3 linked regions of the Macaca fascicularis genome follow. The protein of the gene in region 1 interacts with the protein of each later gene in a biochemical or structural test. Links are inferred from orthologs where the notes say so. Each region holds a gene or a part of one and is shown on either strand. Other genes may lie near its edges.

Region 1 (4,165 bases):
CCACGGAGCAGCAAACGCACACGTCCAGGGCCAACCACGGGGCCTGGAGAATGGCTGCTCCGCTCCTTCCTTAAGCCAGGCCTCAGGTGTGACAGGGAGATAGAACCTGGGGGGCACGGAAAGGGCAGCAGAGGCCTGGCTGGGGCCTCTCTCCCCCACAGCACAGGCAGAAGCAGCAACGAGACACAAGACCACCGAGGAGGCTGGGCCTGTGGGCGGGGGAGGGTTGAGGAGGGGGGTCGGAGGCACTCGGTTGAGCCAGGCCAGGGAGGCGGACCAGGGTGGGAGGGGCACGGAGGGCCTGTCAGCACTTTGGTATGGGGAGGGGAGGGGCTGGGGGGACACATCCGCCTGTCCGTCGTCCGTCCGTCCGTCTGCCCTGCCTGCTTCTGGCTGGGCTCAGTCCTTCCAGTCCTTCTTGATGGTGAGATTCCACTCCCAGGACAGGTGGTCGGTCTTGTCGTCGTCTGTGAAGCGGGACTTGATGCTGTAGCTGCCCCGGGCCAGCATACCCTTGGGTGCCTCCTCCACGGGGGTCAGGAACTCGTACTCCTCGGCCCGGGGCCCATAGCTGCCTACCATGTAGTCAGTCTTGTCAACTGCGGCACAAGGAAGAGGGCGGTCAGCGGCCCTGCGTCCCCGCTGGGCACCACGCACCCAAACGGCCCCCTCCGCCCTGCCCGGGGCCCCACTCACTCTTGACGCCTTTCCTGTACGTGTGCTGGATGTACTTCATGCCGGACACGATCTCTCTGTTAACCTGCAGGACCCGAAGCGAAGATCAGGGAAGGTCGGCCCCAGTCCCGCCTCCCTTCCCTGGCCACAGCAGCCGACAGCTTACCCGGAAAGAGATTTTTATCCGGTACTCTACACCCTCTTTCAGCACAAACGACTGCTTCTTGAAGCTCTCCAGGTCACCTGTTGGGGGGACCTCTCCTTCAGTGACTGCCCAGCAGCCCCGCGCCCCCAGCCCTGCGCGGCCCCTTGGCTGCACTTCCCGAGATCCCCACCAGGGGCCGCCCGAACCCCCGCAGCCGCAGGGCGCTCACCTGTCAGGTCCAGCTCCAGGGGGCCCGGGGCCGAGCTGCACACCAGGGTCAGGCCAGTCACGACGACGTTGGGGACGTTGGGGTCTGGGGAGTGACAGGAGGTGAGGGCCTCACCCCCGCCAGTGGAAGCAGGGGCTGGGGAGCGGCAAGACAGCTGGAGTGCACGGGTGGTCACCGGGCTCCCGCAGCCCAGACTCACCTGCCGAAACGGCCACGCGGCCCAGCAGGGCCTCCTTGTACTTTCGCAGGCTCTCGTCGTCCTTGTCCAGCTCCTGGATCTCCTGGATGCTCTTCTGGGCCGGGGGCTTGTAGTTGACCGAGTGCTCATCTTCCTCGTTCTCTGCTGCAATCTGGGCCAGCTGCTCGGCTGTGGGCTCCTGCTCAGCCATGCTCACGCTTAGCCTGGGTCAGGACACCTGTGGGCGGGACGGTGGCAGGCCTTGGACCTGGATCCCCAACGGAAGCGCACTTTCTGAGCAGAAGCGTGGACTGCAGCCAGAGCTCCAAAAGGGCTCCAAGGGGGCCACCCTCGCTCCTCTCCTCCGCCCAACTCCTCCTCAGGGGCATCCTCTGGGGCAGTGTGAGGTGCCCCACGCCAGGTATAACATCTGAGACAAAATGGGAACTGCAGCCGGTCCTGGGGAGAGAGGGCACACCTCCCCCTCCACGATGGAGGAGGCAGCAGCCCCCGGCATGCGTGGGGCGGGGCTAGTAGGCCCCAGACCCAACTGGCAGGGCCCACACTAAAGCCTCTCTTATGGGCTTGCTGCTCCTGAGCTGCCCAGGCCCTTGCCCTACCGGGTAACGGAGCTGGGTATCCCTCAGTAGGGATGCTCCTCTGGCCGCGCTAGTCACATGTAAACCTGTGTGGTCGGCTCATCCTCATCCTCATCCTTCAAACAGGATGCCCCTGGAGCTCGGATGCTAGAGGCAGCCAGAATACCGCAGGGAGCCAACGGGGCACAGGGGATCCTAAGTATCTCCGGTTTCTCTACAATTGTGAGAGTCTGTGACCTACACTTGGGAGCTACCACAGCCGCTCAGTACCGTTGGGCCCTCTTGTAGATCGGGAGCCGGGAGTGCCCGGGGCAGCACTGACCCGGCAGGGACCCGAGCGCGGGAATGTCAGGCTCAGATTCTTCCCGGCAGCGTGGGAGGTGGATCAGGGAGCAGCCCACCCGGGACGCCCAGGCTGGGGTCCAGGCCGCCCTGCTTCCTCCAGGCGCTGGGGCCTCTGCGCCGCGCAAGGGTGGCCGCAGGCGCCGGGATCCTAGGGCGCGGCCCGCACTTCCGCAGGGCCCGCAATCCGCGCCGGGCGTGGCCCGGGCGCTGGGGGAGGCCGCGCCCCAATCCCCGCGTCGCCCCGGAACGCCATGGACCGCGGCTGCCGGCCCGGCGCCCCCCGCGTCCCCAGGGAGGGGTCCTCCGGTCTGGCCCGGGCCCCACGCGCTTCGGCGGCCATGAAAGAAGCTCAGGGGCGCTCGGGCGGGGCTCGCAGTCCCCTGGCCCCCGCCGCCCCTCCGGCCCGGGTCCCGCACGTGGGTCCGGGGCCGCCACCACCCGGTCCCGCCCCGGCCCCGCCCTGACCCGCGCCGCCCTGGTCCGCTGTCACCGCGCCCCCGCCCGCCGAGACCCCGCCGGGGGCTCAGGGCGGGGCGCGAACAAAGGCGGAAGCCCCTACCCCGGCGCCCCCCGCCTCCGCCGGCGCCGCCGGTCCCCGCCCCGGCCCGCCGCCTCCGCCCCGCCACGGCCACTCACCGGAGGGTTCGGCCGCGCGGCTCAGGCTCCCTCCCGCACTAAATGACGAACGTCGTCGGCCGCTCCGCCCGCCCTGCCTGTCACTTCCGGGGTCACGAGACTTCCGCTCGCTCGGGCGGGGAAGGCCAGGGCGCATGCGCGGCGCGCGGGTGGCCGGGGGCACGGCGTCGCCATCTTGCGGCCGGGCCTCGTGGGCGCGTTCCGCGTGGGTTCTGGAGTCGTCACCTCTGTAAGCCAGGGCACTTCCCCCACGCGAGCCCAGGGCGCCCGCGCCCAGGAGGCGAGGTCCCGTCCCGCCTCTCGCCGCTGTCCAACCCGCGCCCACTGCAGGCCTGCGGCGGCCGCGTGGGCTTTGGAAGCTCGCGCAGGTGCAGTTCGCTGCCCTCCCCGGCCCAGTCGGTCCTACTGCGACTCTCGTTTCGGGGCCTTGTTATCTAGTCCCGGGACTTCGGGGAGGTAACGGGCACGGGGATTAAGTTCTCGTTAAACATAGGCGAGTGCGCCGGCGCGCGGGCCGCTCCAGAGCCTTGGTGTCTCCCGTGGAAGGACAGGGCTTTGGGACAAGGAGGAGCCCCTTGCACGCCCACGCCCCATGGAAAGCTCGTGGTGGGCGAGGGCGCAGCCGCGGCTTTTTTCTCCAGGTTGAGACAGAATTCATGCGCGGCTCGCGCGGCTACTTGGCGCAGGCACAGCTGCAGAGACCCTAGTATCCCTCAGGAATCTCGCGACTCCTCAGGACCAGAAGGCAGAGACCTCCTGGCACCGTGAGCAGATGAGGGGCTTCCTTAGCCTGGGCTTCACCGCAGACGCTCAGGTCCCCACTCCACTTGTTCCGAGATTTCACACATTCGCCCACAAGGACCGTGTTGAAGCATCAGGAACGGCCGCATAACGTGAGTGGCCTGGCCTAGCTGTAGTGCTCGCACTCAGCCCTGTGCTCTCCACTACTGGAGGCCAAGCCCCTAAAGGCCCTGCACCAGACACTGGGTGGGACGCTGCCCCACGTCCAGCCCGCAGCACTTGTTAGGGCTGTGGACTCGTTAGCGTGGACTCCTCTTTTTATTTATTTATTATTTTTTTGAGACGTAGTCTCTGTGTGTCACCCAGGCTTGAGTACAATGGCGCAATCTCGGCTCACTGCAACCTCCACCTCTCAGGTTCAAGCAATTCTCCTGCCTCAGCCTCCCGACTAGTTAGGACTACAGGCGTGAACCAACATGCCCAGCTAATTTTTGTATTTTTAGTAGAGACAGGGTTTCACCACGTTGGCCAAGCTGGTCTCGAACTCCTGACCTCAGGTGATCCACCCGCCTCAGCCTCCCAAAGTTCTGGGATTACAGGTGTGAGCCACCACGCCT
Region 2 (3,636 bases), on another chromosome or scaffold:
AGAGATTTGATTTAGTGATCTATACACTTAAGGACTTAAATTCATGTTATTTATCTCCCAATATTACTTATCTTCATGCCGTAGGAAGTGATATATACCAGTAACTCACATTTTTTCAATAATTCATATAATTCACATCAAAATTCCTATTTTTGAGTCAGTAAATACTGTTTTCAATCTTAATTTCTTGGATTTACTTATTAGTTTAGGTAAGTAAAAACCTAATGGAAGTGTTAAAAATGTATTATAGATTTCTGAAACATGGCAATTTGTTTACTGAGATCAAAACTTTAGATGGAGAGATTATTTCTTAAAAATAAAATAAAGTTAATGCTTGTAGCCTTTTTACATAACTTGAATTGCAAAAGATTTTCATGTCTCTTTAAAAATTATTAGGCTTTTGCCAAGTTAGAAATGAAATATAGTGCCTGTAGTCCTAGCTACTAGGGAGGCTGAGGTGGGAGGATTGCTTGAGCCCATGAGTTAGAGGCTGCATTGAGCTATGATTGTGCCACTGCACTCCAGCCTGGGCAACAGAGCGAGACCCTGTCTCAAGAAAACAAAGAGGTATATACGTATTTACATGTGTGCTAATTTTTAGAAACTGAACAGATTTGATTTCTTGCTACTATTTTAGCTTCTTTTGATAATGAGAATGTTTGGAATTAATCACTGTTGGGGGAAATACACATATTTCACAGAACTAGAAGAACAGACTCGAAAAGCTCTAGAACTGGATCAAGAACGAAAACGAGCAAAAGAAGAAGCAGAACGGCTTGAAAAAGAGCGTCGAGCTGCTGAAGAGGCGAAGTCTGCCATAGCAAAACAAGCTGCCGACCAGATGAAGAATCAGGAGCAGCTAGTAAGGAACTGTCTTCTTAGAGAAAAAAGTTTAAATAAAAGCATAGAGTGAACCCTCTAAAAAGAAAAAACAAAAAGCAACCATTTTGTGCTTTCTGGAAAGCAAGCCAAAGATAACATGTAACTTAGTAACAAAGTGTGGACAAAAACCTAAAACTTTTATTTCTGCCTAAACAAAAACCTAAAAATACAAAAGAATAAGATTTTTTTTTTTTTTTTTTTTTTTTTTTGAGACGGAGTCTCGCTCTGTCGCCCAGGCTGGAGTGCAGTGGCCAGATCTCAGCTCACTGCAAGCTCCGCCTCCCAGGTTCACGCCATTCTCCTGCCTCAGCCTCCCGAGTAGCTGGGACTACAGGCGCCCGCCACCTCGCCCGGCTAGGTTTTTTTTTTTTTTTTTTTTTTTTTGGTATTTTTTAGTAGAGACGGGGTTTCACCGTGTTAGCCAGGATGGTCTTGATCTCCTGACCTCGTGATCCGCCCATCTGGGCCTCCCAAAGTGCTGGGATTACAGGCTTGAGCCACCGCGCCCGGCCTATATTTTTCTATAGATTATTTGTAAATGGAGTCTCTTGTCAGCAAAAGGTTCTGATTCACTTTGACATTGGACAGGTTCCACAGTAAGTCAGTTGGCATCTTTTGCTTTAGATACATTAATATGTTATAGTTCCTATGAGATAACTATAGGCCATAATTGGTTGGAGTTTTTTGTTTATTTAGTGGACTTGCAAATAACGAGGTATAAGCATGTTACTTAAAAGATCCTGGATTTAAATATTAGTTCACACATGCTACTTGCTATGTATGTGTCTTTGGCTCTTTCTGAGCCTCAGTTCCTTCCCTTTGAAAAGAGGAATGATGGCTGGGCACAGTGGCTCACGACTGTAATCTCAGCATTTTGGGAGGCCGAGGCAAGCAGATCACCTGAGGTCAGGAGTTCAAGACCACCCTGACCAACATGGCAAAACCCTGTCTCTACTAAAAATACAAAATTAGCCAGGCATAGTGGTGCACACCTGTAATCCTAGCTACTTTGGGAGGCTGAGGCAGGAGTATTGCCTGAACCCGGCAGGCGGAGTTTGCGGTGAGCTGAGATCGTGCCACTGAGCTCCAGCCTGGGCGACAGAGCGACACTCCGTCTGAAAAAAAAAAAAAAAAAAAGAAAAAAGGAATGATACTACCTGTTAGGATTATTGGGGAATTACATGAGATGATTTGACAAAGTGCCATTTAAAGTATATAGCATTATATAAATATATTTTCTCTTTTGTAGACTTTAACAAATAGTTTATTGATGAAAGTTTTCTTTAAAAACCTTTTAAGTTACACATTTTAAGTTCCTGCTACTGAAAGCAGGATTAACTGCTTGTCTGTAGAATAATAGTAATCTTTTAATTTTGTCTCCTCCTTAGCTCATTACTTCAAGGACTTATTGTAAATAAGCTATTTAAGATCTTAAGAAATACTGTATTTTTTTAAATGGAAGACTATCTAAGAAAAACATAAACAGCCTAAGCATGTACATTAAAGCTTTGTTGACTTATAAGATTATTCAAAATATGTTAATCTTGGAATTATATTGTTTACTTTAGGCAGCAGAACTTGCTGAATTCACTGCCAAGATTGCACTTCTAGAAGAAGCCAAGAAGAAAAAGGAAGAGGAAGCTACTGAATGGCAACACAAAGTAATCATTTGTTCATTTACTAGCTTTTATTGAATAGCTTTTGTACCCAGGATTATGCTGACTTTATAGAGATGAATATAAGTTACTGTCATAATTTAGAGTGGGAAAAATACTTGTGTATGTGTATTGTAAATATTTATCTACGGATATAAACCAAGTACTTTGAGAACACAGAAGAGGTGATTAATTTCTGTGGGGTCCAGAGAGTTGTTGGGAGACCCATATACATTTAAGCTGGGTCTTGAATAATGAATTAAATTTTGGGGGTACGAAAGATTGGGACGTAAGATTGGGAATAGTTAGAGACTGAAGAGGTGGTCATTCCAGACAGAGGGAACTGAATGACTATAGGAAGTATGAATGTATGTAAATAGATTTGAGGATAACCAATAAGCAGCCGAAGCTTTCGTGTTGTTCAGAAATGTTGGAAGATGTGGCCCTCAAGTTAGATAATAGGGAATTGTGAAGGGCTTTAAATAAATGCTCTGCTACAGCAAGGCAGTGGGAGTATCGATTGACTTGGGGCTTAGAAGATTTCAAAACAGGATTGTAACATGATCAGATATGATTTTCTAAAAACCATGTAGTGATCAGTGTGAAGAAAGGATTGGGATAGTGGATACTTAAGAGATAAAGACCCAAACTGAGGATGTGGAAATGAGAATAAAGAGGAATGGGAAGAGATAAGAGACATTTTGTGGTAGACACAAAAGGGCGTGGCAACCAGTGATTGGATATGAAGTTGAATTATTTTTATTTATTTTTTATTTTTTTATTTTTTATTTTTTTGAGACGGAGTCTTTGCTCTGTCACCCAGGCTGGGGTGCAGTGGCGCGAACTCGGCTCACTACAAGCTCTGCCTCCTGGGTTTACGCCATTCTCCAGCCTCAGCCTCCTGAGTAGCTGGGACTACAGGCGCCCGCCACCTCGTCCGGCTAGTTTTTTTTGTACTTTTAGTAGAGACGGGGTTTCACCGTGTTAGCCAGGATGGTCTCGATCTCTTGACCTTGTGATCCGCCCGTCTCGGCCTCCCAAAGTGCTGGGATTTATTTTTATTTTTTTAGAGACATGGTCTTACTCTGTGTCCCAGGCT
Region 3 (3,636 bases), on another chromosome or scaffold:
GATCGCGCCACTGCACTCCAGCCTGGGTGACAGAGTGAGATTCTGTCTCAAAAAAAAAATAAAATAATAGTAATAATACCACCTCTCCCTCAGAATTGTATGTTGTATCTTAGAAAGGCCTTTCCTACTTAAATAATGCAAAAGTATGCTCTAGTATTTTTTCTAGGTTTTTTGTGGCTAAAATTTTTATCTTTAATCCATTTAGAATTTATTTTTGGTATAGAACGAGGCAAGGACCTGATTCTTTTTCCCTTATAGGGGAAAGAAAGTCACAATACCATTTATCCTATAATCTTTTTTTTTTTTTTTTTTTTTTTTGAGATGGAGTCTCGCTCTGTCACCCAGGCTGGAGTGCAGTGGCCGGATCTCAGCTCACTGCAAGCTCCGCCTCCCGGGTTCACGCCATTCTCCTGCCTCAGCCTCCCGAGTAGCTGGGAGTACAGGTGCCTGCCACCTCACCCGGCTAAGTTTTTGTATTTTTAGTAGAGACGGGGTTTCACCATGTTAGCCAGGATGGTCTGGATCTCCTGACCTCGTGATCCGCCCGCCTCGGCCTCCCAAAGTGCTGGGATTACAGGCTTGAGCCACCACGCCCGGCCTATCCTATAATCTTTTTCTTATGGAAGCATAATTACCATGTCTGTCACTATCACCTTTTCTTTCTTTCTTCTTCCTTTTTTTTTTTTTTTTTTTTTGAGACAAAGTTTTGCTCTTGTTGCCCAGGTTGGAGAGCGATGATGTGATCTTGGCCCACTGCAACCTCTGCCTCCCGGGTTCAAGTGATTCTCTTGCCTCAGCCTCCCAAGTAGCTGGGATTACAAGCACCCGCCACCACGCCCCGGCTAATTTTTGCAGTTTTAGTAGAGACAGGGTTTTCTTCATGTTGGCCAGGCTGGTCTCAAACTCCTGACCTCAGGTGATCCACCCACCTCGGCCTTCCAAAGTGTTAGGATTACAGGCGTGAGCCACCGTGCCCAGCCTCTGCTTTTTATTGTATTTTTCCTTTTCTTTTTTGCCTTCCTGTCCAGAGGAAACACTATTCTTTTCTAAAGCTTGGTTTCTGCTGACCAGTAGCAGTTTTTAACTTGGGTCCGATTTCCTTCTGTCAGCCTGTAGGCTTTGCTGGGTTACCTCTCCTGACTAATTTGTGTAGCAACTTCATGTGAATTTGTTTTTTTTTTTTTTTTTTTTTTTTTTGGGAGACGGAGTCTCGCTGTGTCGCCCAGGCTGGAGTGCAATGGTGTGATCTTGGCTCACTGCAAGCTCCGCCTCCCGGGTTCACGCCATTCTCCTGCCTCAGCCTCCCGAGTAGCTGGGACTACAGGTGTCCGCCGCCACGCCCGGCTAATTTTTTGTATTTTTAGTAGAGACGGGGTTTCACCGTGTTAGCCAGGATGGTCTGGATCTCCTGACCTCGTGATCCGCCCGCCTCGGCCTCCCAAAGTGCTGGGATTACAGGCAAGAGCCACCGTGCCCGGCCAACTTCACATGAATTTAAATATTTGTGTCATCAGGTACACTCACTTTGAAAATGTTATTGGGAGGCTTGTTAAGGCAAGTGTCTTTTGTGTTACTGTTCTACACTCAGGCCTTCTGGAAACCCTGCAGAGGGTAGCTCTAGTGGCCAGCTCTCTTGTTGAAAATGAGTGACATAAGTACATGAAAAACCCAACAAGGAGGATTTGAAAGCGGGGCTAATTTTACACTTACTTCTTCCTGGGATAAAAGTCTTAAACTTTGTTTAAAGTGAAGTGTATGTATTTCTGACAGTGATTTGTTTCACTTAAATAGCTTGTTGTTTGTTTCTTTCATTTTTCTTTCTCAAGTTTTGGGTTGGGTTTGTTTCCCGTGAGTTTTGCCCCTGCCTCCTTCCTCCTCGTGCCTGCAGAGACATTGCTGGTGTGGCATCCTCCAGGCCCGTCCCCACCCTTTTTCTTGGCACACCTTCTCTAGGATGGCCAGGACAGTGACTTAGGTTCCACATCTGTGACTAACCATTTTCATTCCGTTCTACAGCTTTGACAATTACTCTGCCAATGTTATGGTAGATGGAAAACCGGTGAATCTGGGCTTATGGGATACAGCTGGACAAGAAGATTATGACAGATTACGCCCCCTATCCTATCCGCAAACAGTAAGGATTGCAGCTGATTTTTAATGTGTCTTTTTTAGAGTATATAATTCTCGAGCGTTTAATTAGTGCATGTTACCTGTGGACTTGCTTATATTGCCATCATTTGGATATTGAGTAAATAGCAGACGGGGCGGAATTAGTTCCGTATAAACATCCCCCTAGATGGCAGGGGTTTTGTGTTTTGAGCGTTAACAGCTGTTCCATTGTTGGGCATTTTACAGTCTTCCATTTAGCTTCAGAATAACCGTATGAAAGGTGCTTTTTGTTTTGTTTTGTTTTTGCAAATCAGTTTTTAACACCAATTGGTTTGAAGACAAGTTTGCTGTGTGACAGTTTTGTACCGCAGAATCAAATTAAGCAGTTAAGATTCGGGTTTCTTTAAACCAAGTTAGTAACTAATCTTACAGGTTTAATGCATTTTTTCCCACAAAATACATAATTTGTATGGCTATAGAACCTAAATCTATTCAATGTAGATTGAGGTTTTGGTTTTGTAAAATGTATCCACTGTGTCCAATCAGAAAAAAAAGTTTAGTTTTTTTTTCTGTATCAGACAAAAGTGATTTATTTATCAAAGCTAATTAGAGCAGTAGCTGGTGAAAATGGGTACTTAGAAGACATTGTTGTGGTTAAAAGTTACTTTTCTTTAAGCAGTTGTTTTACTTGTGTATCTTTTGCTGATCTTGTTACATGTTTGTTCTTCATTTTTAAAAGTGTCTTTGGAAGCAAAACTTAAATATGCTTGAGATTCCTTGGGTGGATATCCTGTGTGCATGTCCTATCCTAGCTCTGTGACCTCAGGCAGGCCTCTTCCTCTCTCCAGTCTTTGCCTGTGTCCTCGTAGGGTGAGATGAGTACATGTCACGCACCCCTAGCAGTCCTGGGCACACAGCACACACTGCGGGCCAGCCGCTGTCAGAATTCTCCTGCTCCTGAGTGTGCGGGTGGGTCAGCCTAGAGAGCGCTGCTCTCCACGTTGTGCCCAAACGAGTGGCAGTTGTGTGGGTGCTCGGCAAACCTGGATTGGCCGGAGGGATTGGGGTTTGGGGTTGAATTGAGGTGAGGAAGACTTCCTAGAGAAAGGCTGGCTTTGAGCCCCGATTGATGATGAGGCAGCCTGTGGTTTTAGGGGGTATTATGGATGAAATAACTTAGTAGTTAAATCTACTGTATTAACAATCAGTCTATAATCCCCAGACAATTCAAATTCTTCTCAGTACCTTAGGAAACTATACCCAGTGGATGTTTACTGATTCAGATTGTAAATGGATTTAAAAACATACTGACTGGTAGAGTAGGAGTCTCCAGCCCACTGGACACATGTGGAAGGGTGTGGTGTCATTCTGAGAAATGAGAGCCACCCTGCTGTGACTCAGGGGGTACCGGGCAGGGCGCGGCCTTTCTCTAAGGGACGCCTCACAGTAAGTCAAGGGTGACTTGGCAGGAGTCCCACTTTGTGTTCTGAGGAACAACAGATGAGGAAGGAGAACTCTCCTCAGCTT

Evidence for each region.
Region 2: the proteins of ARHGDIA (region 1) and RDX form a complex in vitro, tested with the Homo sapiens proteins (2 studies listed by BioGRID and IntAct). The link is inferred for Macaca fascicularis from reciprocal best matches to the Homo sapiens genes ARHGDIA and RDX.
Region 3: the proteins of ARHGDIA (region 1) and RAC1 are reported together in a solved structure, tested with the Homo sapiens proteins (2 studies listed by BioGRID and IntAct, with this or other methods). The link is inferred for Macaca fascicularis from reciprocal best matches to the Homo sapiens genes ARHGDIA and RAC1.

What each region holds. Positions count from the first base shown.
Region 1 is NC_088390.1:88,245,527-88,249,691, forward strand, and holds the start of ARHGDIA (rho GDP-dissociation inhibitor 1), read right to left. Parts: upstream 2,848-4,165; 5' UTR 2,731-2,847; intron 2,342-2,730; exon of another isoform or gene 2,068-2,341; intron 1,466-2,067; 5' UTR 1,439-1,465; coding exon 1,249-1,438; intron 1,134-1,248; coding exon 1,050-1,133; intron 919-1,049; coding exon 842-918; intron 761-841; coding exon 697-760; intron 600-696; coding exon 400-599; 3' UTR 1-399. UniProt on the Homo sapiens protein: Controls Rho proteins homeostasis. Regulates the GDP/GTP exchange reaction of the Rho proteins by inhibiting the dissociation of GDP from them, and the subsequent binding of GTP to them.
Region 2 is NC_088388.1:109,175,635-109,179,270, reverse strand, and holds part of RDX (radixin), read left to right. Parts: intron 1-701; coding exon 702-862; intron 863-2,450; coding exon 2,451-2,543; intron 2,544-3,636. UniProt on the Homo sapiens protein: Probably plays a crucial role in the binding of the barbed end of actin filaments to the plasma membrane.
Region 3 is NC_088377.1:45,974,512-45,978,147, reverse strand, and holds part of RAC1 (ras-related C3 botulinum toxin substrate 1), read left to right. Parts: intron 1-2,016; coding exon 2,017-2,134; intron 2,135-3,636. UniProt on the Homo sapiens protein: Plasma membrane-associated small GTPase which cycles between active GTP-bound and inactive GDP-bound states.